2 linked regions of the Lepisosteus oculatus genome follow. The protein of the gene in region 2 interacts with the protein of the main gene of each other region in a biochemical or structural test. Links are inferred from orthologs where the notes say so. Each region holds a gene or a part of one and is shown on either strand. Other genes may lie near its edges.

Region 1 (17,490 bases), on a different chromosome or scaffold from region 2:
ATATAATTTCTAGTTTGCAACTATGAAAGAAAGACTTCATTGAAAACACTTTTAAATATCAAGAGGGTTTAACTAGAACAATTGCTATGCAATACAAGGTGCCTACATCTGTGCGGTACCACAGTAAAGTCATTGAAATTACTAAATGAACAACAGCACAGAACAATTGTCATGTTTCAATCAATAAAGCACAATATTAATATTTTGAAAAGCATTCAGATCCTGCAGACTAGCAGTTTCTCTTTTCTTTTCAAAGTATGCTTTCGATGTGACAGCCTTTAATGCGTGCTTCTAAGTTTTACCAAATGATTTGTTTGGAATTCAATTCTTGTTATTTGAATAGCATTCTATTATTATATATTAAATGACATTCTCTGTCATGAAATTTCCACTGAACACAAGGTATCTAAGGGTTGTAAAGATAAAATATACAGGCAATGCATGCTCTGTCAATTCTAATAAACCAGAACTATTCTCAAGATTTCTACTTTTCTTTTTTCTTAAAAAGGAAAAGCAGAACACTAAATGTAATTGTACAGTCACTGTTACTGCTGTTATTTGGATATTTAAAATGAAAATATGCTATGCATTTAGCAAATGTATATATAGAAATAAAGAATTTCAAACTGATGCTGTAGGGCATTTCCAAAGAAGGAAAATTGTACCACAAATATTGTTTAATAATACCAGATGTGAAATGGAACTAAATGGAAAGTAATTGGCAGAAGATGCATAAAAGAAAGCTCTATGCAACACTGATATTTTCTCATATACAGCCTGAAAACATGTATAAGTATCAGTTAAAAACAAGTCAGCTATATAAAACCTTCAGAACCTTCCACCAGAACACAAAATGTCTTTGAAAAACACATGTATGATAGCCTAATCTAAAAATGTGGGACATATTGTAGCACACAGTGAGTGTAGCACACAAAACATATTTCTCTATAGACTGGAATTTCAAATTCCAGTGTACACTTTGCTAGCAGTGCATTTCCGCCCATTGGAAGAACGACCACAGCATGTACTGTACAGTATCTTGTGAATGGAAGCTGCCATATCTGAAACAAGCAGAATTCAAAGTACAGCAAATTCACAGATCTCCTAACAGCTGTATTTCAAATGCCTTGGGGGATCAGAGCTAAACACAGACTCAATGTGCTGCATGGTCCAGCTCTCCAGCAGAAAACATGTTTATAAAAAGGGGGGTGTGATAAACTGTTGCACAGTGAAGCAGTTAAGATTCTGCACTCTCTTTGCACGAGCATGGTTTTAATAAAGCCACCTGTGACATGTCGCCTGGGTTTTCAGACATCTGCGCGTTTACAGGATGCTGTCCTGATATACAAGAGCTAACAACACATCCTCACATCTAGGGATTGCCTGGAAAGAGCCATTAAACAACTGACAAATTGTGACACAGCATGGGTAAAGGTTACAGAGGGGACGTACCAGAGGGGCTAACCTTGCTCACTGATCTAGCACACAAAGCTGTTTCCTCACAGGTAAAGCAGGAATAAAAGAGCGTATTTCCTAGAGGTCCATGAGAATAGAGGACTGCCAACTGACCTGTGATCCAGAGTTTAATTGGATACATCTGGTTGTCACTGAGAAACTACCTTTGAGTATACAAGTGCATGGCAAACAAAGATCCTGGTCTCTGTTAGAGACCGGTGGTCACCACACTCTAGTGGTTGTTGAAAGAATGCTTTGAAAATGAACATTATGAAAATGTTTAAGTAGTTTAGAAACTTTTGTTTTGTATAGATAAGAAAAGGCAAAGAATATTTAAAGGGAAACTACAAGGTTTTTACTTAATGCTGGTTCTTTGGCTGGCAAGTGACTTATCTACCCAACTCTTCAGATGGGGTTCAGAATTAAAAGTGTAGTCAGGCCTCCAAAAAAGAAACTATTAGGCCTCTATTTTGAGCGTCGTAAGTATTTTCATTTACACTCTGAGCACTTCTTTGAAGTACCACTTCTCTCTAAAATCACCTCTTGTGTCTGCTCCTTTATGTCTTACACTAAAAAGCAAACCCAAATGATTTCAAATTGCTGTTTTTGATAAGTGAAATTGGTAATTTGGCGAGTTAAGGAAGAAAAACCCAAAACCCTACAGTCTTCACGAATCAGAAGTCGACATTCCTTGCTGAACAAAGTACATATTGGATTGCAAAAATATATATATATATTCCATGATATTAAACATGGATAACTATAGGGTGCCTATAAAAAGTGTTGCATAGTTAGATTTAAATTTTCCAGGATTTACAGGGCTTACTCATCCCTGCTCAAGCAGTTACTATGAAAGCACCAATGCCACAATACCCAATTTGTACACCAAAACTTGTAAATTTCACTTATCAGGGTTTATTTTAAAAACTACAACTTTTCTTAAGTTCTTTAATCTGAGCCTGATCATTAAGAAGCCTTCAACACTACAAGAGCAAGTGTGGTAAACTTTAGTTTTGCTACAGATATGTTTGATATGTATCATTCAACCTGAGGAGACAAATGAAAACAGTGCAGGAAGTGGTCTTTCAGGATTCAGTTAAGACCAAAAAGAAGACACCCTAATGTAGTGAATGTAGTGAGAAAAAAGGAAAGATTTCTGCAGCAAATGGGAGTCAAATATTGACCATTTCCAGTGTAGTTTTCTGGTATAATCAGCAGAATTATGGTAATTAACCACCTTTTAATCAAAGACATGACAAGACGGATGTTCCCCTGCAGTACTACAGCTTTGCAAGTATTTGACTATCAACCCATGCAGCATCAGCAGCTAGTTCAAAGTCTTTCAGTCTGCAGTTACACATTACACCACTTTTGATAGCTAAATCTCTAGTCACAGGTTCAGAAACGTCCCAGGTAAGTAAGCTAAATTAGAAACTGATTATGCAGTGGAAGGAATTCCCAGAGTGTCCTTAAAGCCTCCTCCTTGCAACGCTGAACTACAGCACTGTGCACATGTTTAAGACAAATACTCTAAGCTACTGACGTTTTTCTGAAAAAATGGAAACTGCAGTTGATGAAGAACTTTGTTCCCATTGGTAATGCGTTGCCACACAGATCTCCTTTTTTAAGTTGTAAAAATAGCACATTTGTTTAGATCCATAAAAAAGCTGGCTCCCTCTTTGTCTAAATCATATGATTGTCCATAAAACCCTGCTTTTCCCATGCAGTGTGCTCCCATTTCCCACTTCCCCTCTCAGCTCTACTGTTAAATTATAGTAATGTTTGGTAAATACAGCAGGTCTAGAAAAGTGATTCTCAACCCGGAATCTGGAATATAGCAGCGTTTCTATGTTGGTTTCTTTAAATTGTCAACAGATGAATGAATGCTGTGGAAAAGAGCCAAATAGATCCGGTTAAACCTTGACTGTATCAATTTAACACCTCTCCCAGGTACAGAGCTGGCTACACATTAAGCTGACCTAATAAACTGGCTACATTCCAGACCCTGAGGACTGGTGTAAAGATACTCTGGTTTAGAATGTCCTATGGGAAGAAATCAGGAATACAGACTCACTGTAAACATTTGGGGAGGAAAGAAATTGCAAATGATTTCTATTCCTTTCATAAGGGACTTTTAGGATACTTGTCCACACTCCACAGTCTAATATAGAAATTGATCCGTCACTGTTGATTGTCTCCAGTGCAACAGCAACAAGTAAAGTGTTTCCTGCACAAAGATCTGTTGTGTATTTACTGCCCTTTTTTTAGGCCTACTGTCTTGATCATACTGCCCACAATCTAAACTGCAATCTATAAGTGCTGCCATTTTGCAAGAGCATGACAGCAATTGGAGTTCTTTGCTTCACCAATGAGAAAGTTAGATCTTTAAAAATAGATTTTTCCCCCCTCTTTTCCTTCCAGGGTGGTTTAGCAAAATGTTTTCAATGTTTGCACCACAAGCTTACTATGCAAACTTCATTTAAACATTTTAAAGACAGCAGATGCTTTTAAAGAAGACAACCTTACTTTGGAGTGAAGTGAAAATGATAAAACTATGTGGCTGGTTAATCTGATGACACAGTGCAAGCCAGAAACTACATTATAATGTCTTTTTCTGCTTCTAATACCCTGCCAATATTTCTCACCCTCTATCTGACAGCAGCGGTACATTTTGCAAACATTTTAGATTTACTGTCAAAGTGACTATCACAAATTGGAAGCTGTGAGCTTAGCAGAAAAGATCTGTTGAAATTCTGAGCATTTCAGAAAACACATTAAGCACCCTACAGTACTTAAGGAATCATCCTCCATTTGTGTGACAAGCAGCACACAGCTAAAAGCATTGGATTATAGTGCATGAAGTTACTACACTGAACAGTCCAAGAGAAGACAGCTGAATGTTGATGAAATGCGTATTTACAGTATATTATTGAGCAATATAATATTCACATCCAGTCATTTTATACAGTCTTAATTCCTTATATTTCAGTGTAGATATAAATGATAATGTTCTGCCATTAGCTTGGAAGAAAATAATCATGCCATTTTGATCTATTCCAAGTTTTAAAAGTTGTTTTACCTTTATTTGTACCTGTACAAATATTTAAAAAAATACAGGGAAGTTTGTGAGAAATGAATACTATAAATGTATTCAATACCATCCCACAACACTAATCTTCATGGAACTGTACAGTTCATTGCTTGAGGATCTAGAAATTAATTTGTGAAACAAGATCCTGGACATGAAAAACAATTCTGTGTGTCAAAATTTACTTTTCAACCAACTGAAAAAACAAAAACATTCTGAAGAAAAGCAAGTTAGTTCAGCAGCCTACAATGCAATTAAAATTTAACATGAGGACATAGAAATGATTTGATAAGGTTTTCACACAGAAACCCACAACTGTGTGCATAATCTACAGCAATCATTATTGGCCAAAGTTCACAACCTTCTTGTGAAAAACACAAACAAGTAAAAAAATACACTTCCTGGGGATGACCAATCTCTAAAAACTTTTGTGGCTATGAAAACTGTTTTTTTCTAATTTAAGGCTATGAAAAGCATTTTTTTTCAACAAGTAAAAATAATATGCCATACAAGAACCCTTGACTTCTCACTGCATCTACAGGGGTATGACAGGCTACCTTTATTAGTGTGGGGAATATCTGAAGGAATCTATACATTATGGGATAATTTACCACAAAAACTACAAACTAGGTACATAAACATCTTAGCTTTACTATTAACTTAATCTAGAGTTAAAATGTTCACAGTGTACATGAGTACCATTTATAGTGTACACATGAGTGTTCATGAGTACCATTTATACTCTCCAATAGTACTATATCATTTTAAGCATTTTTTGCACAATTCACTGCTACTAAAATCCGCATGTGTGTTCTACAAATTGCCTTGTTCAAGCATGCCATCTCTTACCCATGTAATATTCACCGTCTTTACTCCAAAAGGGTTAAACATTTGAAACAGACAATATACACTCATTCCTTATACAAATGAGACTTTGCACACAGTATCCATGAAATCTGTATCTAAATGAAGGGACTTACTGGCTCCAACGAAATTGTATGAGTGATTTTAATATTCTAATCACGTCAAGAGTATTATAAAAGGAAAATGATTATACTGCTATTTGCCAGTTGATCCATTTTAGATTTTAACAGTGATAAGCACTTTCAGATACTACAGATGAAGAAGAAAAGTACTTCTGCTGTGCATAATTTTTAACTTCACTCTTTACTCCATGTATAATGAAATTAAGTTCACAAGCCTCAAATGTACAGGACCTACTGTATACTTCTTTGAAAGCCTCTTACTTGTTTCCCTAAATAGGCTGAAAATAATGAACTTCTTACACTGCAACTGCCTAGGTGCTTCTAACAATCCAGTATGAACCCTGCAACCTAAGACTTGTTAGCTGTGAATGGGCAAGTGGGATCAGGTTGATGAAGTACATTCATCTCCCTGTGGAGGGAAAACAGATAGGCCTAAGTTTCCCACTGTTCAGGAGTCTGACCCACTTCAGGTTTCATGACACTCTCATAAAAGGCTATCCCAGAGATTTCATGCGTAATACTTTTTAACTGGTAGAGGAAAAGTGTAAGAGACGGATTTTAATAAATATTAAAATCTATTACTTTTTTGCCTCTTCAGTTCAGTTCTAGTAAGAGCTTTTAGATAAGGATTTGCAAAAGGTGAAACGAGTATAACTACAACATGACAGGAGTGTTACTTGTTTCCTTGAGAGGCTGGGAATCTGGACACAGAGCAGTGGATAGCAGAAAATGTGACTTTCCTTCAGCGGATCTCTGTGCTTTTGCTATAGACCAGATCCTTCAGTAAAGAGTGTGACAGCATGACTCGTTTTGTCCCTGCTATCCTAAGTCTGTGATACTGAATAGACCCTCTCAACCACCACTATATTCCTCCAACTTACATTCTTCCTTGGAATTGGGTGATTTAATACGCAGTGAATAATAAAGTTTCCAATAAAACAATCCAATAAATCAAACTATCAAACATAAAATCTTCAAAAATGTTAGTTATGAGCTGCAAATTGACCAGGTAAGTCTTTTAACATGGCAGCAATGTTTTTTTAAGTGCTAATTTAACCACATCAGGGTATTTGCAGTGCTATGGTTATTCCAGAATTAGACCTATGGTTGTGATGACTGTACTGCTGTACTGCTTACCTCTTGAGAGAAAATTCTACAAATGGTTGGAAATGATTGCTAGTAACATCTGTTATTAGACTACATAACTGTCACAGTTTCTCTCCAATTCACACATGACAATTTACAGCTGGTGATATTATTAGGAGTTTCAAAGAAATGCAACATGTTTTAAATTCGAATAACAGGTAATTTGAAGATTTCTGCACCTGAGTTTTTTGTGATTCAAATAATAAAATACCGTTACACATTACACTGGTTATCACCTTTCTCTGGCTCTTGGCAATATTGACAATATTGCTTGGGATCCTATAAACCAGGTCGCAACCAATAAGCAAAATGTTACTTGAGAATCAATGCCTACAATTTACAAATATAATTCCAAATTTAATATAGTTCTTTCAATATAAAGAACATAAGGTAGCTCTACACTGTAAATAACCTTACTTTAATTTATAACTGCATTTGCAATTAACCATATTCTTACTGTAACCCCGTTGAGCTGCTCTGAATAAACGAAGCCACTTAATAAAAAAATTATTATTGTTCCGTCATCGCTCATATCTTCCAAAGGAAAAAAATATTCTAACATGTAAATTTGAATAGTGAATATTTTTAGCTGGAATCCACATTCATCAAATACTTTCAGACGAATTTCCATATATTCGGAGCAAATCAAACCATGGATCACAAACGTCCAAGGAGGCTTCAAAAATACTTATTTTCTATAAAAATAAGTGCAGAATTCGAACATCTTTTAGAAACCTATTACAACCATCCCCCAGTAACAAAAATATCAATCGTCTAGCTCGCGTGATATGGCAGTAAACGTGGATATCCCAGTTACAACTTCTGGTTTCACCTTTCGGCAAAAATAAATTAATTAAATAACCGCCATATTCCTCAGTATTTTAAACCAATGGTCTTTCATTTAAATATCCTAATGGGGAGAAAAGTAACTGCCCATTTGTTACTGCAGCACCTTTCGGCACAGGGAGTGTTACAAATTGTCGCATGTATAATACAAAACAGAGGAGATAACATTAAATCAATGAATTACTAGACTTCTTCGGCTTTTATGCTACCATGCCATTAAAGCGGGTAATTCATCGCAGACGCCTAGCCCTTTGTGATTCTATGATATGTAAAGAATAATGTCCATTTGCAGCAGTAACCATCTGATTGATTTCCATCGCTCTTAATTATATTATTTTCTAAGACATGATGGTCGTCCAGTTAACAACGCCAGGGGCTGTGCTGCCCTTCTACTTGAGAGCTCATCTGATTCCCGGATTAAGTGTTTAGGAATGTCCGTGGATTTTACTCTACACCCAGGCCACTTCACCATTTGTTGCAATACCACAATTTCGACTACCCTCCATTAGAAATGCTTAAAGACGCACGAACTGCGCTCTTAAATCAAAGATTGCAGTCTATGCACAAACGCAAAACTACAACAATAACGACTGGGTGGGTTAAGTTAAGGAGTTCTGTTCTAACTAATAATAACAAAATCTTCAATTAATATAAAACCCTGCACAACGCAAATAGGCGCTTAATATTATTTTATGCGATTCCGGTGAGTTGCACATTTTGCAATTAACCATCTAGCATGGGTAGTTTGTTTTTTAAAAAGCCTCATTCGTAGATATTTTCAACACTAGTTCAGAGGCGCCATGTTAATAATCCTCCATCACATAAAAAGAAACATCTCCTAATGTTTTATTTTTCAACTCGTAAATTTTAAAGCATTAAATTAAACCTACCTTCTTTAGGATGTTCTTAAAAATAATGCGCGCCTCTGTAGAAACCCGTGCAGGATGCGATAGGAATGTTACATTTGTATTTCCGGAATAGTTTTCTTATGTCTGAATTTATGTTTTATGTCTATCCACAGTTCAGGCTTCGGAGAGGTAAACACATAAACGCAAGCAGGGCTGATTTAAGAGTAGGAGAACTCTAGTGGCTGAATAAAGAATTGCGGCTTTAGTTGTCTGTTGTATTTTTTTTTTCAGGAACATGAACTGTTACTTTTATTACAAATTGCATCTGTAATAAATTACTTTTTTAAGGACACTGAGACAAAAATCTCTACAGCAGTTTATGCGTTTAAATGTTTCGCAAACACAATAATTATATCTGGGTTCAATCCACAATGTAACGTTGAAAATGTCACCATATTGTTACTACTTTATAACCACTAGAACTACTCTCTAACACTCTACCGACCTGACTGATGACCAAGGGAATTTTGCATGAGAAAGTACCTAATTTTATCAGTTACTGTAACAATAACCATATCTTTACTGTATAAACAGTTCTAGTAATTCTGGTGTCTTGAAGCCTGATCTTGTCATATCTAGTAATATATAAAAGCAAGACTGGGCCTGTTTAGCATATGGATGGATATACAGTACGTGTAATGAAAATGAAAATTGCTACTAAAGTGATCTTGGTGGACCAGCACTCTTCCATTCATCCATTTTCTAATCGCTTTATCCAATACAGTTATGGGGGAGCTGGAATCTGTTTCAGCAAGCAAAGGGCATGAGGCAGGGCACAACATGGATGGCACTCCAGTCAATTGCAGGGCAGACACAGACACAAGCCTGCACACACTCACCCCAGGCCCCGTTTTCTCAAGACTCAATTAACCGCCCAGCTTGTCTGCAGACTGTGGGAAGAGATCGGAGCATCTGGAGGAAACCCATGTGAACGCAGGGAGAACATACAAACTCCATACAGATAGCACCCCACTTCTAGAATTGAACCCAGGGCCCCAGCGCTGAAAGATGACTAACTGTGCCTTTCCCTGGAAAGGAAATTCTGAAAGTTAGTAGAAGCAGGTCTTTGACTGTTGATAGCGGCCATCTTATTCCATGAAGCAATTAACATTGGTCTATGTTAAGAGTGGGTGAGTTGTCGAGAGAAGACTCTGTAGTTTGATTGTAAAATCTGTGAATAAAGCTTTTTGTGCATGTTAAAGTCAGCAAAAAATATTTCAAATAACAAGTACAATAAACAGTACTATACTATAAATAATTGCATAAATTATGTAATTAAAGGTAATTTTAAAAATGGATATTAAAACTATTCATTTATGTTATGTGGCAATCTTGGGTTTTTAAATTCCTCATTTTTTTAAACTCCTATCTCAGGATATATTACAAGATTTGCATCTCATAACAATGCTCAACTAGCAGACACAAGATAAAAATGTCCTTACAGCTCCATGTCCTTTACTGTGCCCGATACTTATAAAGGACACATCTTGCACAAGAGGAAAAAGGTCTTTTGATTTACTGTGTGTGTCTGCACAGATAATCTGATTTCACTAGGGTAAGAAATGAATTGAATGCAGGAGCTTGTCCAGAATTTATTTGAGCTCACCCATCTATAACCAGATTGAATCACTGTTAGGTTTAATATTTAGAGGTGCCAGCTGAGTTTTAAAAGTCATGGAATCATACATCCAACATCCTTATACAGTGTGAGAGCTATGGGTTTTTGTCCAGGGTTTGAGCCTGTGTTATTTGACAAAGTCAAGATCAGTGTGTTGTGTTCACTAAATACCTGAACAGCTAAGTGTATAATGATTTTATTGTATTTTTATTCTGACATGTTCTTTTTATGTATTGTAAACAATTATGATTTGCTTTCAAACAAACTACACTATATAAAATAATTTTCATTAAATTAAATTAAATTCCCTCACACACGCACAAAACAAACAGATCCAAGGAAATCTGTGATATATACTGTATGCAGCCTACAGTGTAATATATATATTATTCTTCAGAATAATAATGGGTAACATAGATCTGATCATATTTAAAAGAAGTGTTGGTCACAGCTCTATCAGATATGTTGTATGGTACTGATTTGCCACAAGTATTGCAATTAACAAATGTTCTGTTTTGTGATGATGTCATGAAAACTCAGATTTTACAAGAGGTGAAGTATTGAGCAGTATTTTTTGACTCATTTACAAATGTAGTACGCAGGCTTTGAATAGTCTGAGCCATATACTCTAGGTTGACTAGCAAACATGTAACCATTCAAAGATTAATTTTAAAATCTCCATTATGAACATTTGACTGTGTTCTGCATTATTTCTGAGTGATTTTAATCAAGCGTCATTGCTTTTATCACTATAAATTACTCTAAATGAGCACCATTCATTGGAAAGCCTAAATCCTTGAGTTTTTAAAACCGATAGTTCCTTCACATATAGTACTAGCAGATTTTGCACTCAAATCTCCTACCTTTATAATCCAAACAATTGAACAATCAAGTCACCTTGATGTCATACCAACTGACGACCAAGCAACAATGTCTTACCATTATTTGCCTAAAAAAAACTATCCAGGAAATGATATCGCTACACTCAGATGCAGCAATTGCTAACCCAAATGCTGACATTTCAGCATTTGTAAACAGCTCTGTTCTCTGTGCTATATATATAAAAAAATAATTCCAAAAAAATAAACCCAGTTTTCCCTTTCAATTGTTTCTTGAGAGAAGTCTGGAAACTGACTTCAACAGCATTGCTTGGTAGCTTGTTTTGTACTCACACAACACTTGAAGTGCCTCTTGTTCTCAGTTCTCAATGCAATTCCACATAGTTTCCATTTGTGCACTGTGGTTCATGTTTAACTGTTCATTCTAACCTTGTGACTGATTTTGACAATTTTGAATACCTGTGTCAGGTCCCCTCATAACCTTTGCAGGTATGGGTGAGGCTTTCCTAAACAGTATACTAATAAATCTCCCCTTTTCCAAATCTTGTGCTAAGAAAAGACATTTGAATCTGTTAATGTATCAAAAGGTATTGGAGAAAAAGTTTCTTTAAGTGGCAAGAGCCTCTGATCTTATGAATAACAAATTCAAAAATAAAATTGACCTAACTAACTGTATGGAAGGAAATCTTTTTTTTTTTAATTTTACAATCTTGAGGGCCAATCTAATCACCTGATTAAAACATCCCATTAGCACATGTGGTAGGGAATGAAGAAAAACGTAACCAAATCAATTTACTAAGAATGGAAGAGTAGAATACAGTAGGTTTGTGGTAGTTGCAGTTGAACAATGGAGATTCAGAAATACTGTTCATACTTAGATATTATGAAATGAAAACATTATTTTTTTCTCACATTTCTTCTTCACAGATTCATATTAAAATTCAACAATTACCACAGCAATACTTTGAATTGCCCTATTTGTGAAGGTATCATTCACTATTGGCTGATTAAGAAGAGTCCTTTTTTATGTGTTTTTTGAAATGGTCAACTGAAATGGTAGCTATTTATACCAGCACATGGATGTAGACTGAAGCTGATATTGACTTTTTCTTATTGAGTAAGATAGACTGAATGGCCTTTTTACATCTGTGGTCTTTGTCATGCTCTTTCTTAATCAGGTAATTAGATGTGTTACGACCCCAAGTGTCTAGGGGAAAAGGGGTGTGACATTTAGGATAATTCTTTTGGAAGCAGGTGGGTTTTGGTGAGGGACTAGGAAGCGTGATAAGGGTAAGGAACTAGAGTGGTGCCAAAGGAAAGAAAATAAACAAAAATGGAGCTGGCTAGGACAGTGAGGGAAAGCTAATCTGACTACAAAAGAAAACCCGAAACACACGGTCTTCGGCGTCTTCAACACCCTAGCTAACCTGCACTGACTACCCAAAACCATACAAGACAAACGGCACTCACCCGTACTAAACTAGTGTACTAATACAAAATCAACTAAGTGTGTAAGTGTACCCAACAACCTAAACTAACCTTATATACAGAAGTTCACAGAAAAACACAAGTGAACCAGGAAGACAAATAAGGGAAAACAAGAGTAATAAATAGGAGCAGGGTACAAAAAGAACACAAAAGTTGAACATGTAACACTGGGGCAAGGTAATGACAAAACAAGGATGAACACACAAACAAACAAAAGTACAAAGAAACTAACGTAAATCCAACAAAACAACAAAGCCGAAGCTATACAGAAATACACAAACACAAAGCAAAACAAACCAACAAACGAAGCCGAAGCAATAACCAGGAGCGAAGCAAAGCAATAACCAAAACCAAACAGGACCAAAGTCAAACAAAAGGCCTCTCCTTACTGAAAACCTCCAGGTTATATACTGAATAAGATGTGTTCTGATTGGCTGAGAGTTAATTGATGATGATGTCATACTGAAAGTGTGGTGTAATGGTGGGCCAATGGGGAAGGGAGAACAATCAAGGGTCAGCAGTGTGGAACATAGAAAAAAACACACACAGAACACACACTGGGACATAACAAGATGCATCAAGAAATCAGTGTGCAGTTTGAATCATTTTAAAAAAAGAATCTGATTCTCAGAAACTACAGTATATTTTTTGCAGTCTGTTTAGACTTGAGTTGACCTACCATTTGCATATACAACTTCCATTTGCAGATGAACAACCTGTAAAAATTGTGGCAGATCAAGCAATATAAGCTTTCCAGCAAAAGAAATCACCTGACAGAAATCCTTGACACTGTACCGTTGTTGTTTCTCAACTGTATATGAGCACTTTAATTCACATTTCATTTAAAAATTAAATGTCACTGATGTTCTCTGAGAACATCATGGCTATACAAGGATAAAAGTTCATACATTCATTATTAGGAATGTCACATTGCCCTGATGCCTCATGCCTGATGCCTAGATGTCCAATGGGATTCACTTCTGGATTTCATTAAAGAATGGTGCCTTGGAACAGATCACAGTGCATGAGTTGGAATAATAACTGAGCGCAAAAATACTAGCGCATAAAAGCAGACTCCAATTATGCTTTTTAACAAGCACTCAGTGTAAAAAGGAACAAGTAAAGGTTTATTCCACGCTGAAAAGAAAAGAAACACAACATTTCATCTGTGGAGCCTTCTTCAGGTGTGTCCACATGTTCTTCAAAAGGCTCCACAGCCGGAACGTGTTTCTTTTCTTCTTTTTTCACTATGGTACAGTATAAACCTTTACTTGTTCCTTTGCAGCCTACGCATGCTGACGCAGCCACAATATCTACAGTACTTGAACTCAGTGTAAGAATACAATATTCAGAGTTACCCATAACAAGGCATGTACAAACACACACAGAAGGCATGCATAGAGAGCAGATAATAAAGCCAGGCTGGCAAACAGCTATAGCTGTGTTGCATAAATGTACAGTCAGTTGTTGTGCCATAGTCAGCCTTCCCATAATCCCTCAGTCACAGCTCCAGTGTGCTTAGCAACTGGACAGTCTCTATCTTCTGGTTCACGGGAGTCGACAGATGTCTCTACAATATGTGTACCAGTATATAGCAGGAAACTAAGATATCAATGATCTTAGCATCATCAATAAAAATTGTAATAACACCCCAAAAATGTCAGAATGATTTACATGTAATAAGGGACCCACTTTAACCACCAGCTTCCATTCTGAGCCAGTAGCTCCCTATCAGATCAGGTGACAAGTTTCGGCACTTTGCCAGTAAATTAAAGCTGAAATTTAGGGAATTTAGGTTGAGTTAAGTCAAAGTGGAATTTAGCTAGGCCACTGAAATTTGTGTTTACAATTTCATCCCTTTATTGTGTATGTAAAATTACTGTACCATGCCTGGCAAAGCTATTCAGACCCTTCCTTTGGTGTTCCATTTTGTGAAACTTTATTCACATTTTATTGAACTTCATTTTATTCAAAACCTGAATGCATAAACTGAAGAGTCACTAAAGATAAGATAAGTTACAATAAACATAAGTATTCAGACCCTTGAGCTCAACATTTGTTATTCCTTGTTATAGACAGCTATTACTGGCAAGTCTTTTTGGATAAATTACTAACAACTTTACACACTAACCTGATGCAATTTTCAATTTTTCTTTGCAGATTTGCTCAAGCTCTCTCACGTTGCCAATTGCTTGTTGACAGTAGTTTTCAAGTCTTCCCTGGGCTTTGACTAGGCCACTCGAGGACTTTCAATTTCTTACTCTTATGCCACTCCAGTGTTGGTTTGGCCTTATGCTTTGGATCATTGTCCAGCTGAAAGCTGAACTTTTGCCCAGTTTAAAGTCTGGTGCAAGCTGTCTTCTATGATTTGCCAGTACTTTGTCTCTGCTGATGTGTAGCAGAACTATAACATAAGGCCGCCACCACCATGTTCGACAGCAGGGATGGAGTTGACTGAGTGAAGCACTATGATGGGTCTGCATTAGATATAACACTTAGACCAAAATGTTGCATTTAGACCAATTTTGTCTTTTGCCACAGTTTTCCAATATCACTATCAATAGTATGTGCTTTGTTGCTAACCCCATTCTGGATTTGAAATGTCGTTTTTTTCCATTCCATACAAGTCCCTTTTTTGGACGACTGTTGAACATTTTGTCTCAACCACTGATTTGACCCTTAAGTCTAAATCTAAACCAGTTTCCTCCTTGCCTGGCTGCTTGGCAGTTTGGAATGACAGCCTAAATGAGGCAGTTTCTGAGTACCTGCCACTTCAAAGATTGACTTCACTACACTCAGAGTTGTTCTTGGAAATGTTTTCATGCCCTTCTAATGATCTGTGCCTTTTGGTCTTAATAGTTGAATGTTTGCTTGAAATGTACTGATTGAGGGACCTTACAGAGACAAGTGTGTTTATGATGAAATCAAGTGAACCACTGTTATTCCACACATTTTTTTCTGTTCTTGCTAAACTATTTCCTTCACTTTTTGTGTTTCACTTTAAATGTGTGGAGTAACTTGTGTATATACCTTTAACAGATATTACATTTAAGCTTCAAAGCAAGAAATCGCCAAAACTATTCAAGGGCTGAATACTTTTGCAAGGCACGGTATATGATAAAGAATAATTATTTGTGCCTATAAATCAATTGTACAACAAATTCACTTCAAATCTATAAAAAATAAAATGTAGTTTAAAATAGTGTAACAATGCAAATTAAGCTTAAAAAAACATACAGTGTACATAAACATCAATTACAAATAATAACCTACTTTTATAAGAATTATAATAGACTGGAATAAAACAATTGAACAATAGTGACAGTACAAAGTCACAAATATAGTTTAATAAGAAATACAGTAGGAGCTAACTAGAAACTATCTAATTTCATATTAGGTTGCTAAAACTAAAGAAAAGAGAAATTATTCTTATTAACTCTTCAAGCAATAAAATATAGTATAAAAATGGCTTCCCAATAATTCAATGCACTGACCTGTGGTCACAAATGAAAAGTTAAATGAACTGGAGACTAAAAAGAACTTTTTTACTCAAAGAGTCAGGGGTATTGGCAACAGAATCCTTTGCCCAAACTCTGGGCACCTTCAAGAAACGACTGAACAAAATGTTCGTTTCACTCAACTACTAAACTACTAAAAGGTGGTCTGCCCAGCTCCCTCTTGTTTGCAGCCTTTTTTATGTTTTTATTGACTAAGCATGACTGGAACACCCTGAAGCACTATAAAGAAAGTGGAGCAACAATGATATAAAATTTGAAGACAGTAAAACCAATTCTTCAGACCACTGCCTGACAGTCATTGTACATGGACATTAGAAGGAAAATTAAACAGGGCTGATTGCAGCATCCACGTACTGTACAGTACCTGTTCAATGTAGACTGAAAGTAACAAATCTACATGGTCAAGCTGCTGCAGAAACAATGTACCTGTCAGAGACCTTCAGGTAAGCATTTGAAGTGTGACATACCCTTTCAAGCAACTTACAACTGGCAACCCACTGAAGCTCAGCAGGTGTGAGCCTGGCCACAACCTGGATGGGAGACCTCCCAGGAAGCTAACGTTGCTCAGAGGTGTTAGTGGGATCAGTAGGAGGTGCTCATCCTTTGTGTATATAACATATACAAAAGTAATGTCATGGCACAGGAGGGACCTATTGAAGTGCAGTTTGATTGCCTGCTGACTGTATTGATTTATTAGAAAATGCATCGTTTTAATGTTTTTTTATTCTACACGAGTCTGCAAAATCCTCAGAGGCTCGTCTTATACAGTATCTTTTATCAACAGCTATATCATCAACTCGAAGGTGCAAACCTTCAGATGAGATGTACAAAGGATGTCCTGACATTAAAAACACCAGGGAATTTCTCGAAAAGAGTACGGGTATTTCCCCCTGGCCTTTACCAAACATGGCCTACTAATAATCCCCATTTACAGTATGAATTGGCTTCATTGCTCTATACTCCTCCCCACTGATAGCTGATGTGTGGTGAGTGTACTGGCGCACTATGGCTGCCATCACATCATGCAGACGTGTGCTGCAAATTGACGATGGTGGAGGTAAGTTCTCATTACCTCTAAAGCACTTTGAGCGGAGTGTCCAGAAAAGCACAGTATAAATGTAAGAATATATATAAAACAAAGCAGACAGAGATGAAGTCTAAATCTGTGATTTTCAGCATTAGCGAATACTGATGCATCTGCCATAGAAAAGAAGGTTTCACATTTTTCCTGTGGAAGAGAAACAATGGTTTTGGTCTATACATGTTTAAGGTTTGCATAACAATTATTGGAAAATTTTTAAAAAAGCTTAAGGGAAAATAAATTAAATAAATAAAGGTTGAAGTAAATTCACAAACAGCATGCTGAACCATCTGGACAGGGATTAGTATACTGAGGCTTCAACATGGCATCAACCTAAAGCATGCTGCCTTATTATTAAAGAATTTCTTAGCCAAAAAGAATAAGATGGGGATTTAAAGTTAATGCTATACTCTCCAAAGATTCCAGTTTGTTGTCCAATTGAAGCATTCTGGGACAACTTAGACATGGAAAAAGAAGGCTTGGGAACAAGGATGAGACAATGTAATGTTTTCTTAGC
Region 2 (16,848 bases):
GAGAAATTGACGCCGGCCAGACTGAACTCGCTCGCTGACCATCGAAGCCACTGAATAACTTGCTTCTTGCTCCACACACGTGGGTCTGCCATGGAGAGAGACTAATCAGCACCCCGCCACAGCCCGATTACTCCTCAGATAGCTGTGCCAAACACCTGCCTTCCAGTAGGTCCATAAAAGGCTCAGTGTTGATTTGAATGTCTTCAGGGATCTTGTGACACAGTTACTTTATATACTGCACAGTACAATAGCCTAATAAACCAATAAATAGCCTCAGAAAACACTTAATGCTGACAAACAACCTAATATTCCCTATGCACCTTTAGCAAGGCAATAATAAGGACTGAGGCTACAGGAGTAAGGGGCAATCTTTCTGAACGACAGCCATGAAGGGCAATGGCAGAGGGCAGTTTTATATACGATTCAAAGCCAAGGCTTTGGGGGTGTCCGCTGTGAGAAGATGAGAAGACATCTTGATGGAGACTCACCGTTGGGGATACCACAGCGCAGCTGCTCCTTGGCAAACCCACTGAAACTGGCCTTCAAAGCCTGGCTCATGACCGCTTTGCTGCAGGGCGTCAGCAGAGGGACAGTGCACGAGCCCAGATCTAGGAGACGCAAAAGAAACAGGCATATTGATTACTGAAGGCCAGTGAAAAGGGCTTCCTGGTGTTTACTTTCTTCAGTGCAGGAGAAGATGGATCTTGCCGGCCACATGGGCCTTTCACTATGCTAGTTAATGACAGACTGACGTGTAGCACAGATTTATCTCTGCACAACTGGCTTGGCTTATGAGTTTAATTACTAGCATAGAATCTCTGATGTTTTAGGGATCCTTTTCGTCTCTGAACATGTTCTCTGCGTGAGGAATATAACAAAACCAAGTTCCAGATTCCAGTGGGGAAGCTGCTGAGAGTACTGCACTCAAAGAGATCCGAGCTGTGCACTTCTGACCAGATGTTTAGAGGGCAAGAGAAGCAGCTGGATGCTGATGGCTTGAAAGAATGGAAAAGCCACAGTTGCACAGGGAGATTCCTGTGGGCCAGTTCTGGCTTTGATCTTCGCTGCACAGTTGCTGAGGTTGTCAAACCGTGGTGATGGTGTGCGTGTGATTGTTAACAACTATCCCTGACGACTCTTTCAAAAAACTTCCCCTTTTTATTAAGTAACATCATTTACATCATTCTGGTCTCTGATGTTGTAACTATGTTTCATAATTCTCATTGAACACTAAGACGCTAATACTGACACATACTGTACATTACACTGGAGTTTAATGACAACATTTGCCTACAAGGGGCCTTTGTGCTAAATGAGGCTAACACATTAGACTTTTGCAATTTCAGACTGGTTCCACCTTGCTTGGGAACAACGTTTTGAAAAAACAATTTTTAACTTGGTCATCAACAAAACAGTGCAAGTGATCCTTGTTTTCTGAATATCCAAGGTCTTGGTTTATTTTTTTTCTCCATCAGCTCAACCTCTCTCAATCTAGATCCAAAAGTAACTTCCGAGAAGGACATTCATTCACCTTTTTTGCATTAACTCCTAAATTTACTCTATAACTATCCCAAGAAGTGAAGATTTATGCACAATTTCCTCTTGAATTTTCAGTTTTTCATTGCTGAGGTCAGGCCAAAAGTATCATTCTATTATCTTGGAGGACAGGATCAAGTCTTCCGGAGGTCTGTGATGTATCTTACCAAGTGAAATGGAGTCAAGGCCTGAAGGCACCTCCTGGACTGACTGTTCATCATCTGAAGCAAGATAGCATCCCGCAAATAAGGACATGGGGTCTTCTAGGACATCAAATGCAGTCTGACGCTGAGGAAAAATAGGAGATAAAAAGAGCTCTTAAATGACAACCTCTGCATTGTTGTTTTTAGCTAAAAGGTGCTAATAACTGTTCCTTGCCTGCTCTAAAATTAGTTTTGGTTGCTTTCATTTAAAAATTAAAACAAAAAAACAGGTTCTATCTATAGAGTAGGTTTATTTTTATAGTCTTATGGTCAATTATCTGGTACATTGAAAGTCAATGAAAGGATATCGGTAAGAAGACATTTAAAATGTGGCTCACCATACTCATCCAGCTGCCAGAGCAAATAACTCTGTACTGGCACAAAAAGTGTTTATATCTCAAAACACGAAACTGAATGGTCAGAAATCAGAGAGTCTACAACTTTTACAATCGCGAGTTTGAAATTCCACTAAGCAAGCTATGAAGAGAAACAAACTGATATTTTCAAGAGTGGAATTGAAACCCATTCAACGGGGCAGTGCAGCTGAAGGACAGTCAATAGGCCTTAGCAGACAGCACTGTACAGAGTCCACACCTTTTCTCTACCTTGTCCTCTGCCACTGAAAACATTCCACTCTCTGAGATGAACTGCAGCCTGAAGGGGGGGGGGGGGGGCCTTAACTTTATTATCTGAGAGAGGTGATAATTCATCTTGTGGCTGCCGGCTGCAGATCCTAACTGTATATGATTTGCTGCGTGGGAGTGCGCTGTTTCAACCCAAAACTGCAACCAATTCCTGCCTCCCCTTAGATCATGGTGGGTAGATTGCTGCCTTATCTAGACATATAAAAGCAGGTCATGCCCTGACTTAAGACAAATCTGAAGTGCCTCTTTTCTTTTTTGTTAAACCAGTCATAAAGTTTACAACAGAGGTTGACTGATTTTATCATCTTTTATCCTTCCCAGCTTACTTTCTCTCTGACAGCCTTCTGTCAGCAAACACCGATTGGCCCAACCTGCTGTCTGCTGCCAAGAACAGTACTTGGGCAAAATCTCACCTCTAACACCTGCTTTCACCCCCAGTTTCTTAATGAGAGTGCTTAGCCACATTAGCCATCATTAATACTCCCACACCTTACTGATAAACACACAAAAGCTTGGCTTGCTGGGCCAATACTGACCTTTTCAGTTCAAACACAGGCCTGCCACTGACGTCTTTGGATATTTCACTGTTTTGTTTCTGATAACAAGTAATACAACCAGAAGCCTCAAGCTTTAAACTAGGAGTTAACTGTATTTCCACACATGCGCGTAATACTCTGTGAAGACAGCTTGTGCGCACCATCTGCGACATTAAATCATTAAAGGCAATCGCTTGAGGGTGATATCTTTGTATTTTTTATATATTTTACTGGAAAAAAAAAATTTGTGTGTGTGTGGTATCGTTCCAAACACACAAATAAATATCAATGTGAAAAACGCCCTCACTTTGATCTTGTTTGCCGAATTTTAGCCACGCGAGTGACAGAAAAATATAGTTCAATAAAACGAATGTGCCGTGATCAGACACCTTGCTGTCTCCGTTCCTCGTGTTTACTCCAGCTTCTGCATTTAATGGGCAATTTAGGCTTCTGGAAACAGCGCATCTCAGAAACAATTTAAGAAAATAAATGTGCTCAGCCTGACCTTTACCGGAGTATAACAGCCCATGCTATGGCTAATCTAGAAGGTGTTCAGATGAGAATTTTAGTGTCCTTATGCAGCTAATCTTTACAGCACATGGCTGAAACATTAAAATTCCACAGCAGCTGCAGTGGAACCTGGTGTATCCCTTAGGAACCCTTAATACACCCACTGTAGATTACTGTAGATTAAAATTGCATTGTAAATATTAATATCAATAGGATGACAAATGTTTAGGACTTACTGTACTGAAAAAAAGCTTCTTGGCACACACCAGTTAGCAATACCTGGTCTGTGTTATTTCTGGCCTCGCTCAGAGTGAAGACAATGTTCTTTAATTTGTTTTGGTTTTTCATTTTGTCAACAAACTGATAAAAAGGCCAGCAGGCCTGTATTTGCATTAGAGCATACTACAGAGTTTCGACAGTCTCTCTTTGGGCTGACAGCTCCTGGGCTGGGCTGGAGTCTGGGTACGAGGAGTATGGTGTGAGATTACTCATAGGGTCTAGTCACACTCTGATTGTGTCTGTTTTCACATCTTCTTCCAATCTAGCACTTGGGTCACATCACTAGTGCACAAGCAGTGCATTGTTATAAAAAAAGAGTAAATAAAGAGAAAGCTAGTGAATGATTTATTCAAATAAAACAGTTACGAGTTCAAGGTGGAATTAACTTGAATACAAGACAGTAGCACAACAGAACCTGAAGTGTTTACCAGTGTCTTAGACTGGGGTCTAACCCTGCTTCTGGAGAGAGACTCTTACAGGTCATCCTAATCCACTCAATTTTATAGCTCACCATGAATCAATTATGCAAGTAATCTACACATTTAAAGAAACTTTGATCTCAAGGGCCTAAAGGTTTTGTTCCAAAATGAACTGCGAATTACATTAGTTAACAAATCACCTGTAATTGATACACCCTCAAGTATACCCTATAAACTCGCTTGTACACATCAGACCCAATTTTGTAGAGTATACAAAGATGTAGGAAGATATTCTTTGAACATGACCGGCACTTTCTAGAAATAATTCTGATGTTTAAAACCAATTTTCCGGTTGAAAGACTTTGGGTGTTTGCACTGAACCATTTCATCACCCCGACTTGAAAGGAGTTCAGACCAGCACAGCCTCCCTTTACTGGCAAGTGAAAGGTTTTTCTGAACAACAAACACTTCAAGGTCTCTGGATTTGTGTGTCTCTTTGTTGTCTGAGGACTAACTGAGGTTTTCAGAAGAGCTTCGGAGTTGTATACATTAGATACCTTAAATACAAAAACTCCTCTACAGATTACCCCGTTTATTACTACAGTACATAGTTGGACGCAGCATTTTTCAGTGGAAGTAATGGATTTTATAACCGCCTCTTTTCTCTTTCCTCCACGCAGTGCACCTTTTGTAACACAAAACCGTTTTCAAAGCGGTTCAGGTACTGTATTTCTAAACTCACACAACTGCTACTGAAGGTAACAATTTCAGTTCACAAGTCAAAGGCGATACTCATACGTTTGACACAAAAAGACATGAAAAGCAACCATCATTTACGAGATCAAAGCAATTAATGTCATTGTGCAGTGGCATTTAAATAAACCTTGATATATTGAAAGTGGAGTAATCATGAAGTATTGATTCTCAAATTGTGATGAGTGAAGAACACACTTATGAAAGAGTGAATTATTCTCTCCGTCTTCCTACCTTAAGAATGCCGCGGTAGCCGCAAGACAAAGGAGCCACCTGATCCATACCGACCTCACACATCGCGATCTAAAGCAAGAGAAAACGCGTTAGACTTGTGCAGCGCTTTATTATAAATTATTCATTCATAAGTGAAACACCAGGATGAGCAACAAACCTTCCCAAATAGCAATAAGTGAAGGTTTGTTTAAAGACGTTACAGTGACACAGTGACAGAGACAAAAAACAAATAGGATAGTGTTCAGCGACCAAGCAATTACAAAACAGGACCCCTTCATCACCGTGCAGTCATTGCATTTGACTCCTAGACGGTCTATGTATTTTGAAGTACCGGGCACTTCAAGAACCGCCATATATTCGACAAGAGCAATGATAATAATAATAATAATAATAATAATAATAATAATAATAATAATAATAATAATAATAATAATAAACTAATTTTACATATTAAACAATTATCCCGGGGCGCTAAGCGAATAAGACAGGGATACACGACCTTGCAGATAATATTTAAGATGTACTGTATTTAACATTTAAGCTCATCCAGAGAGCATACAACTTAAACAGACGAGTAATGATAAAGTTTATTTCAACAAGTAGACAAAGATATGAGGCGCTATATAACACTTTATTTCAACCAATGCTTTATTAATGTCTACACTTTAATAAGAATGGTATAGTTTGCTCTTTTTTTTACGAGAAACGGTTGAGTCACGTTACTTTCTTTTTTCACGCTTTCAAATTCCGCTTTGCATGTGACACCGACCAAACAAACTGATTCAGTTCCCACATCAAAGCCACGAGTGGAGCTGCAGAGGAAATCTGGGAGTCCTGTCTGTGGTTCTTGTGTTTAGAAACAATGCAATTAAGGAAAGATAATTTAAACCAGAATTAAGAGCAAAGAACCCAGACAGCAGTTCTCGGACGATTACTCATGTATGTTTTACTTCACAGTAGGAATCTTTAATGATGTTTCCCATATATATAATGTGGCGTTTCTGTTATTACCTAATCTATACAATTCTTACACAGAAAAGCGCATGATTTCCTCATTGGTCACAAGTTTAACAGATACCAGAAATGACTCACGCTCGCTCGTCACAGAGTAGGTGGCACCCTGGGTACAACTGAACAGCGAGCCTAACGTGTATTACTGACAATTACCTCGTTCATTTATTAAATCCAATTCAGTGTTGCACCGCAAGTTTGATCCATTAGAAAATCGTTCAAACGCACAACAGGAAACGCACGTAAGATGGAAATGATAAAAACGTAACATTTTTTGTTAGTGACTTAAACCTCGATCACCGAAATGTACAGGCAGGAGAGCATCGTATTTGATTTAACTGATATCGGAAAAAATAAGCCGGACGTACACTACTGCATTGTCGAAATAATTCAAGCACAAGTGATTTTTTTTTTGCGGCAAGTCAAAAAGTTTACGTGATAATGCAACAAAAAAAAAACCGAAGATCCAACCTAAAACGCCGGTGGCTTTTAATCGGTTAAGGAAAATTGTGTTGTTCAAATAACAAATGAAAAATCACAGAACGACTTTCAGAAATTCTCATTCTTACAACAATACAGGTTAATAACTAATATAATATAATACCGCACCCAAATGTAAATAACTATGTTAGATTGCTTCAAGAGAAAGACAAAAAAATAATCTGTAATTGTTCACAAGCTTCAAATATCTCTTTCCTTGTATAACGCGTATCGTATTCGATAATTACGTGTCAATTTAAATTCGATCATTAAATTCACCTTTACTCAGGTGATTTTCTTAGCCCAAATTAGGAGCTATGCACAAGCAACACCGCACACTGCTTACCTGTTGAAGACGTTCTACAGTGAGAGAGAGATAATAATAAATCTATTCTTCTGAAAAGCTGGAAATATGTATATCCACAATAGGTCGATCGTATTCCAGCGACGTCCTGGTGGACTAAATTCCTCAAAACAGACAACCGATTGACGTTGATCTTCGATCTGTAGTAGATGCTTGAAAAGGCGGCTGCAGTTTTAACCTGCTGTCTTCGGTGGATGTGAATGATCCGGCTCCGTGCGGCTCTAATTAATGAGGAAGTGCAGATCACTTTGCTCCTTTCATAGACTGGAGACCAGTCGCTCCGGGGAGGAGCAAACAGTAAACACTGATCTGCCATTCACTCAGAGTAGGTGTTTCATCTACCCAGACTAGTACAGTACTAGTACTACAGCTGTGCCGCCGAGAATTGTAACACACCAGGCATGAAATAGCTTATGATTATACTACAACCGTAGCTGGAAGCGATATTTGGTACTGAAACTCCGCACGTTTTCTTTAGTGTGGCTTCTTCCTGTACGTACTGTATACGTAGAGGTTAATTCCACGCTGAAAAGTAAAAAGAAATAAAGAGAAAAAAAATACAACGTTTCCACAAACGCGTGAAAAGGACTCCACAGCCTACACGTGCTTTTCCATCTTTTTACTTTGCAATATGGACTCAAACCTCTGCCGTACTTTGTAACACTCGCACCGAGGCAAATGCCTGCTCTAGTTTCTTAATGCACCGCACATGTTACAGCTGCGAATGAGCGCCATGTCTGTAAATATATGATAGAAAGTGCGCAGGCACTGCTGACGATATACGTTATGTATGGTACAAACACATACAGTACACGTCTATGTTAGAATTCAAAGGAACACGTAAAAGTTTATTCCCTGCTGAAAAGAGAAGGAAAGAAACACCACGTTTCGGCTGTGGAGCCTTCTTCGGGTGTGTTTGAGTTCTATGTCGCAAGTGGGGAGGGCACATTGCTTGTGTTATTGCATACATAAAATGTCCCTGAATGCACGGGGCAGCTTGTTCGTTTCAAAAGCCTGTTCATTATATTCTAGAAGAGATCAATTGGAAATGTATCAGTAACCTTCAAAACCCTGTTCCCGATGGATTCGCTAAAAAGTTGCTTGAAATCAATTTGTTTGCCCTTGAATTTCATAAATTGTGCACTGTGTGCACAACATGATCACTTGTGTTCGGTTTGCAAGCCTTGGTATGAGATAAGACCACGAGCATTAAAATATCTGATAGAATGTGAATCATTTTTATTGACAAGGTGTACTAACGGGATTCTGATTGTGAAAAATAGCAAAATGGGAATGCCACATCTGAGATTTTACAAGCCTTTCCAGTCAGTGCTAAACTGTAATTATATATGTAATTATAGACAATTTAAGTTGTTCTTGAAAGAAATTGCAGTCTGATTTTGGCACACCACTGAAGGTGGTAATTGCATTTATCCTAGACACTTCATTTGCTGGGGATTTTGTATCACAAGTCTTGGTCAAAGAAAACACCGTAAAACCCTTCCTAGCCATGAAGTAACTCTGTACCGATGGAAGCTGTACAGTATAAAACCTGATACAAAAGATTTCATCTCTGCTACATAAAACGCAGCAATTGCTATAGTACTGCACATGCCAAGAATATACTTTTCAAAACACATCACCCATTCTTAGGCTTGTCTCACAGAGAAGCACATCATGACCAGTCAGTCAACAGTTCTTGCGCATCAATAAGTGCTGCGGTACAACACGGCATTCTTGTCAGAAGGCTTAATGACATTGATAACATCTAAACGGGAATTACTGTGAAAATCACAGCAGGGCTGTGGGAGTGTGGCACAAGGTGCCCACCCGTGTTGCTGAAGCCTGCTCTTACAGATTGTGCTGCTTCATTGACTAACGGCATGCTGGCACATTAGAGCTACAGTATCTCCCACTGTAACAGAGCTCATTACTAAAGTAAAACAATGGAAATAACAAAAGAATCTAAATAGTTTTATTGATTGATTTTGAGCTGTTTCAGCTTTTTCCACACAGGCTGACCTCTGTTTAACTCATCGCTTTTAAAAAAAACGTAATTTAGTCCAGGCTGACATCCAGTGGTCTTGAGAAACTATTATTTTAGTGTGACTAGATGATTGTTGTGGTAAGAGTGGGGGAAATCAATGGGGGAAATCTACACTCTTTTTCTTCTCCTAACCAGCCCATTCACACAAGTGCAAGATGTCCATTCATGCACGTGATCTATAGGTTTTAAGCTCGGCAGTGCCTGTCATTAGAGTTCCCGTTCAAACTGGTGACAGTATGACATTAGGGCACAACTTACTCCAGCATGACCTTTTATTGCACTTGTTTCTGGGTTTGATTCTGTCTCCTCCATTAGCAACGTAATGGAGCCAGTTAAGTGGATAATAAGTACAATCAGTGTTTTCCAGGTGCTGATTGAAGAATGCCCCTAAAACCTACAGGATCTCAGCATTCAAGTACCAGCGTTGCTTATCCTGCTTTGTTGCTTCAGCCTTTTAGAATCAATTGGTTTTCTAGTACAAAAAGGTTACCCATATTGGTGAGGTGTGCACTGGTTTTCATCATACAGCAGTGAGGTGCACAGCATCAACACCCATTTCTTTTCAGTTAAAGAGCTGTTCTTCAGTATAAGTTTTTGGTACTTCCTATTGAGCAAAATCTTAATTGCAAATGTGTCAAATGCTCTCATTAAACATTAAAGTAAAAATGTATTTTTTTATTATTTGTTTTCCCGTGTTAATTTCAGCTGTGCTTTGACTTGCTGAAGACTCAAAGTTATCCAGTGAAAAAATGTTAATATTGGTTTATTGATCACTATTTGAATATTTCATTAACATTTTTTTGGTCATTCTTTCAATTCAATTCAATTCAAGTAATCCAGCCTATAACTGAATAGCTCCTTTCATATTCAGGTTCCCTTGGGATCCAACCACTGTCATAACCATAAAAATAATGATTTTATAAGTGTATTACCAGGATGTTTATTAAAATGGTAGTAACAGCTGCCAAAAAGGCATTTCACTCTTATAAAACCTAATGCCATGAACCACAGTTTTCTGCGCTCTGGATTAATAATTCAAGAATAACTGATCATCTGATGTAGTCACATCCATAGCTACTACAAACTGTGTGACAAATAAATGTGCCTAAGATTCCCGGCTTTAGTCCTGGTGAACGCAAGGAAAGCTGTGTGAACCTGCAGATGGATTTTGTTTACCACTAAATAAGCCATCGCCTAGCAACCCCTACATCTGGCTTTCCCTGTGCCTTTGTTGTGAGGCCTTGGTGTACAGGATCATGCAGTCAGGGGCTTCAGATGAATACATCAATCAGTACAATGTCTTTAGCTGCTGTGTCTCTGTTAGCTAGACGGTGACAAGACAGTGCAATAGTTTCAGAAGGACAATACAGTAAATAATACATGAAAGCAGCTGGAGTGTTAAAAATAGACACCTCGGAGCACACAATCACAGCAATATTCTGAACATGCTTTGGCCAGTCCGTGACTATTTCTGTTTCTTTCACATTTCATAATCTGCATGACCCACTGTGAATGAAACATATTGAACTAGTACTTTTTCAGCACTTGCTCTTTGAAGGGTGTGTACAAGATTTCAGATCTCAGTTTTTGATTGCCCTTCGTATAGATAACAGGATTTTAGGTGGAGTTGTCCACACTTTCACACTACTATAGAATACAACCTATTCCAGTGGGCTCTTCACTGCAGATTTAGTAACTGAATTACCAAGACAGATTTAATGGCCTAATTGAAAAAAAACAACCTTTAAGCATTACATTAAGTATCCAGATCTGACTGGACTAGTAGTACAGTCTCTAATCTGATACCAAAAAACTAACTACACTCTGCATATTAGCTTTGCAAAAAACTAAACCATTTGACAACAGCATCAGTAACGCTCCTCAGAAGTAGTCAGCACATTATTTGTGAAACAGCACTTGAAAAATCTGTATTTAAAGATAAAAGCATGTCAATTCAACATCCACACTGATCTGAGTGCTATGAAGGCCTTTATAAACAGCTTAGCGCCAAGGATTTTTAATTGCAATGCATGAATTATGTTGGGAAAATATCAAGTCTTTGTATTCTCTATATCCTCAAATGAATCACAGATAATTGTGTTCTTTAGTTTAAATTCTAAATAAAGCAAATGGAGCATTTCTTAAAAAGATGGCACTGTGCACATAGAAATGATCCGCTGTAAATTAGAAAACAACAGAGTGAACAATTCATACCTTTTTTCAGTAAAGGACAGTAAAACTACACCTCTTTGAAACCTTTCATGCTGGTGCAAAACTTTCTTCTTTAAAAGCAGATATCAATAAATTACCCAGACTATAATCGAGCCATAACATGACATCAGTGTTGTGTTGTACAGGGTTCAACTACAGTACCATGCCAGAGCACTCTAAAACAAAAAAACTTTAGAAAATCTGATTGATGTCTGTAAACTGTAAGTGCCACTTTGCACATTACCACTTGCATTTACCTGGGTGATATTTTAAACAGATAAATACCAGCTGCAAAAAATAGAGTGGGTTAGCATACTTTAAGTTCCCCTGTGTTTTGACTGCATGATTGCTTTTCCATATAAGCCAGCAGATGGTTCAGAGGCACTATAAAACAACACTAACCTAAGAATTAAAAACACAAATGATTGGTAAATCTCAGATTTGCTGGTTATGATAATGTTGTTGATAATGATTGGTAAATTTCATTTGTTTCCTTGTCTGATCTGTACAAAACTCAAAAAGCCATCATGCTTTAATATGACTTTTAACATTAGTATGTACAGTACACCATCTTGACACTATATATACACATCATTATATACTTTCTTCTATGAAATGTTTGTTTCAAAACAAGTACATTTCTTTAGCACTATGAAAGATGTTATATTGAAAACCTTGAGGTTTCTACCAAAAATGATTGATAAACCCAGAGTTAAATCAATAAACGAATCAGATAGCTGAAAGACAAATTAACATTCACAAATCACTTTCATCTTGCTATGTTTTAGGCTGATCTCACAAACCAAGAATGGCTGGGCCTGGTCAGTCCTTGGCTTAGAGACCTCCAAGGAAATCCAGGTTGAATGGATTAAGACAGGATACATGGATAAACCTGGGCTTTAACTGAATGGGGAACACCAAGTGATGTCTGACCATACCAATGTGTATATAACATTGAAGAAATATTGTTATGTGCATGTAAAAGAGGGTATCTATAACATCAGGCAATGCTTTTTTAAAAACACCTTTTTTTTAAAAAAGAGAAGGTTTGGAATAGGTAATAAGGCTTTAGCGGAAGAAGACTTTTGAAGAAAGTGGAGCATAACACTTCACGGCATTTCTATATAAATTAGACATCGTCTGGTAAGGTTCACTGTAGCATGCTGACTCCAGTTTGGCCATCACTCAAAATCAGGACATTAAACTCCCTAGGAATGATTTTTACGATAACACATAAACAACATTGCTTACTTAGGAGAACCAGAGGCTGTGTGAAAGTCCTTGACCGCCTTCATTTCTAAATGCAGGTGAAATGAAATGTTTTGTTTTTCTTCAGCGCAGCCCATGAAATTCATGTCGACAGAGAGATGCTTTATGAAAACACTGGTTGAGACGCCGAAAACAGAACTGGCAGGGAAAATGCACTTCAAGCAATTTGTTATGCTTGTGTTGTGAAATCTACACTCACCTCTTCCACAAAAAGGCAGAAAAAAAGTTGTCCCAAGAGAATGTTGGGAAAACCAAAAAGATTAAGTTTACTGGAAGTGGGGGGAAAAAGCCGACCGACTAATGAAAAACATTAATAGTCTTTGTGATTTTTAAGTGTTGAAATATTCAGGATGGTGATTCAGGGTTTCAAATTATGGATACTGTATACTCAGACAGCTTTTTGGCAAATTCATCTTTTCACTTAAAGGCTATAAACCTTCACTTAAGCAGACAAATTAATGAACAACAACTTAACTCTAAACTAGTAACTATCAAACTGAAAAAAGCGACTTATTGCTTTCAAGGTTTAATTGGCATTGCAATCTCGTCAGAAAATGCAAAATTTGTCACAGAATGGCAAAAAATGGGTTTGGGTCAACGGGTGTCAGGGTCTATGATGACTCATAGGTTTGTAATGAATGGCCGGTGTCATTTTGTCTTTGTCTTTCCTTGTGAGCTTCCCGTTGATCAAAAGTGGTCCTTGTGCAGACACCCATTAATTATCACACCATTCAGAGTGGAGGGATTGGAGTCTAAAGTCTAACTGGACCTCAGACTGAGTGGGGGATCTCTAAAACAGGGTGTGGATACACAATGGCCATCTCCACACAGCCCACTGTTAGCTCGACACAGACTCAAGACAAAAACCCCAGTCATGAGAACTCAGGAGCAAACAGAGGTAATGAAACTGGAGGAAACAGTTTGGACCAGAGCACCTAGGAGAGGGCTTGGACATCAGGGACTCCACAGACAGCATCCCTGCTACCTGAAGCTGGACTGTGTGTTATGATGAGACCTGAATCTAAGGCTACTCATGCCACTCACACCTGACAGCGCACTGAAGCTCAGCAGGCGTGACCCTGGCCAGTACCTGGATAGGACACCTTCGAAGGTTGCTGCTGGAAGAGGTGTTAGTGGGACCAGTAAGAAGCTCTCACCTTGCAGTCTGTGTGGGTCCTACAGGCCCCAGTAGAGTGATGGGAACACAGTACTGGAAAAAAGACGCAGTCTTTCGGATCGGACATAAACCCAAGGTTCTGACTCTCTGTGGTAATTAAAAATCACAGCGAGTTTCTTGAAAAAAAATAAGGGTGCTACCCCGGTGTCCTGACCAAATTACCCTCTGGCCTTTACCAATCATGGCCTCCTAATAATCTATGAACTGGTTGAGTTTATTGGCGCACTTTGCTGCACATTAGTGGTTGTAGTGGGATTCCCCATTACCAGTAAAGCAGTTTGAGTGCAGTGTCCAGAAAGGCTTTATATAAAAACATTATTATTACTACTACTAGTACTTAGTAATTAGTCATTAAAATTGACACTCTGGGCACAATCTGACGGCCTCAGATTGCCCCTTGCTTCAGATTTGTCACTTCTCATCCCGAATAGATATATGTTTTGTGCCGTTAGGCTGCTTGAGGATATTGGCTGACGCATGGCACCCGTTCTTCACTGATGGAGTCGGTCATGCAAAGCGCTCCTCAAAAACGCTTTATAAATACAATGGATTATTTAAGTATAAAGCTGGATTTGTACACGCTCTAGGTGGGCATTCGGTGTCTCGTTACTAATTAAAACCAGTGTTATAAATTCTGCGCCTTGCTGTCACACACAAAAAAAGTTGCCTGTTCTTCTGCGGTCGTTGCTAACGACTGCTGATTTTGATAGCTCGGCCTGTCACGAAACCGCGAGAAACGTTTCCCCTTGTTTTTAAATCGCGTGGCTTTAGGTCCCTCTGCTGGTGAAGTATGCGGTGTGCGTTTCAGTAAGTTTACGTAAAGCAATTGTATCAAAACAATACAAAGGGGGTACAGAGTATAGATTAATAAAGTATATGCATATGAAATGCGGCACTATTTTAAAACAAATGTTGAACTTTTATTTTAAAGGATTTTTCTTATGTTTACGCTTCAGAACAGTGCAGTAGGTAGTCTGTTCTAGACAAGACAGAGAGCTAAGCCAAAACAAACTAGTGTGTGTGGGTGGTTGTGCCTAACTGCGTTAATAAACACGTCTAAAACATATTAAACTCTGAAACGCTGTGGTTAGAACACAGAATGAGAAGAAATACAATTGGAGTCTGTGTGTTTGTGTTTCAAATACAACTGAGTTTATCAACCCAGACTGCCATAAAAATGACATTTAATTGAGTGCAGTCCAATTTTGAAAATGAAAATGCCGGTAATAACGGCATAACCGCTGTGACACACCTTTCAAATATTGTTGATTTCCAAAGTGCCAATTTTCATAGCAAAAAGTCCCATGACACACAACTCTTTTCTTTTTATCTTTGCTTCAGACTTTCCTTTTTCGGTTAGAAAAAGCTTAAAAAGATTATTAACGGAGTTAAAACATTTTAACAACATCTGAGCGTTTTGAGCACAGATGGTGATGTAAACAAATTGCCGTAAATTGGATACAATATCTCCTGTTGCTCTTAAAAATATTTTTGTCCAAGAAGCACTGCTTTTAACATAAACTATGATTTATAATAATCTGCTTGGGTTTAAATACGAGTATTATAAATATGAGTATTATTGTAAATAATGGCAGGAGGCCATAGCATTTAGCATTTTTTTAAAAATCAACAGGAAGAGAACTGTTAGGTACTCAAAAATTGTGTTCTGTGTACAACACTTACTTAAGTAAGCCAGCCGCCCCCACCTCAGAGTTTTACTGCAGAAAAAAAGTGAAAAATGATGTGACCATTTTTCATGTGTAATTAGTCAATGAAATGTGATCCTTCACTGCAGTTAGGCAGGCCATGTGCTCCAGCTTGGAGTGAATGGCTTCCAGATTTGAATCCAATCTCTTCTGTCTAGACTCTACGTTGCTTTTTTTCCCTTCGTAGCTGAAAACAGACTCTTTACACAAAACGCCAACAGCTCAGAGGTTTTTGTACCTCTTTCTCATAAAGATGAGGGACAGGCCTTTTCTGCAAGCCAGACCGAAGACCAGCCTCACTCAAGACTTTTTTTTACAGAACACGTGTCGTCTGGGACAGACAGACAACTTCAGGCTCTGCAGCAGGTCATGCAAAGAACCCTTCTCCAAGAAAATCTGGTTCTGATTACTTTGCTTGAATAAACAAATGCACTATGGACTATTTTAATAATGCATGCATGCTTGATACTTGATGTGAACTTTTCAATATCAGCTGAATCTTTTCATCATGCTCCAAGGGCCTGCATTGAATTCAAATTGAAATTTCTACAGAATATACCTCTGTTTTTATTTATGTATGTAGCCGCTGTCAACATTCATTTTTGTGTATTTAACTATACTTAATCTATCATAGGTTATTGAACAGCAATCCATTCTATCAGGAACATTTAAGGATTGCAGATGAATTAACTAATTTCAGAAAAGGAGATGGCGGTTCTTTACCATCCAACTATGCAATATGTCAGTTGTGAAGAGTTAAACATCACTCTTCTTATCAACATCTTTGAGACTAATGAATCCCACTCCTCTTCAAATAAAATTCAGTTTTAACCTTGGGGCAAAGGGAACTTGATGTGAAGCAGAACAAATACGACTATGATGGAAGACACGTTAACGCTGATTGTTAGGAATTCCTAGCTCGTGAGGGCTCAGCCTAAATTAACTGTGTCCAGTTTCTCAGAAGGGATATGAGCTTTACCTGCTAGCCGGAGCCCAAGCCTGCCCTAGACAGACAAGTAACTGGTTTGCAGTTTTCCCAGGCTTACTTGTCAGACTGATTGGTCAACATTAGTATAGTACATTTCTTTGCACAGACAGTCACCCAATCAGCTACTTGGGCAGGGACCTCCAATTATATAAATAACCCCAGTAGCATGATTTCAGCTTGGATTCTGCTGGAGCTAAACTGGTGAGATCCCATGTGACTCACTGTTGTCATTTGTTTCTAGAGCTTCTGTGCTCATGATATACTTTATGGTCCTACACCTTCAAAAAGAAAACACATTGGATCCTCTCACAATCATAAACATAAGTTTTATATTTTTATTAGTGCATACGTACTTGGTCAGTGTCAGGGGAAGAAAATCTTAGTAGATTTCTCAGTCACTTTGCTGATACATATGCAATTATCCTTTTTTTTAAATAAAACAGAACTCCATGTAAAAGAATTAACAAAGTGCTGATTCATG

The links.
Region 1: the proteins of ets2 (region 2) and zmynd11 form a complex in vitro, tested with the Homo sapiens proteins (2 studies listed by BioGRID). The link is inferred for Lepisosteus oculatus from reciprocal best matches to the Homo sapiens genes ETS2 and ZMYND11.

Annotation. Positions count from the first base shown.
Region 1 is NC_090701.1:13,106,815-13,124,304, reverse strand, and holds the start of zmynd11 (zinc finger MYND domain-containing protein 11), read right to left. Parts: upstream 8,587-17,490; 5' UTR 8,412-8,586; intron 1-8,411. UniProt on the Homo sapiens protein: Chromatin reader that specifically recognizes and binds histone H3.3 trimethylated at 'Lys-36' (H3.3K36me3) and regulates RNA polymerase II elongation. Does not bind other histone H3 subtypes (H3.1 or H3.2).
Region 2 is NC_090700.1:6,569,525-6,586,372, forward strand, and holds the start of ets2 (protein C-ets-2), read right to left. Parts: upstream 7,222-16,848; 5' UTR 6,952-7,221; intron 5,907-6,951; exon of another isoform or gene 5,884-5,906; intron 5,184-5,883; 5' UTR 5,178-5,183; coding exon 5,115-5,177; intron 1,825-5,114; coding exon 1,704-1,824; intron 609-1,703; coding exon 489-608; intron 86-488; coding exon 1-85. UniProt on the Homo sapiens protein: Transcription factor activating transcription. Binds specifically the DNA GGAA/T core motif (Ets-binding site or EBS) in gene promoters and stimulates transcription.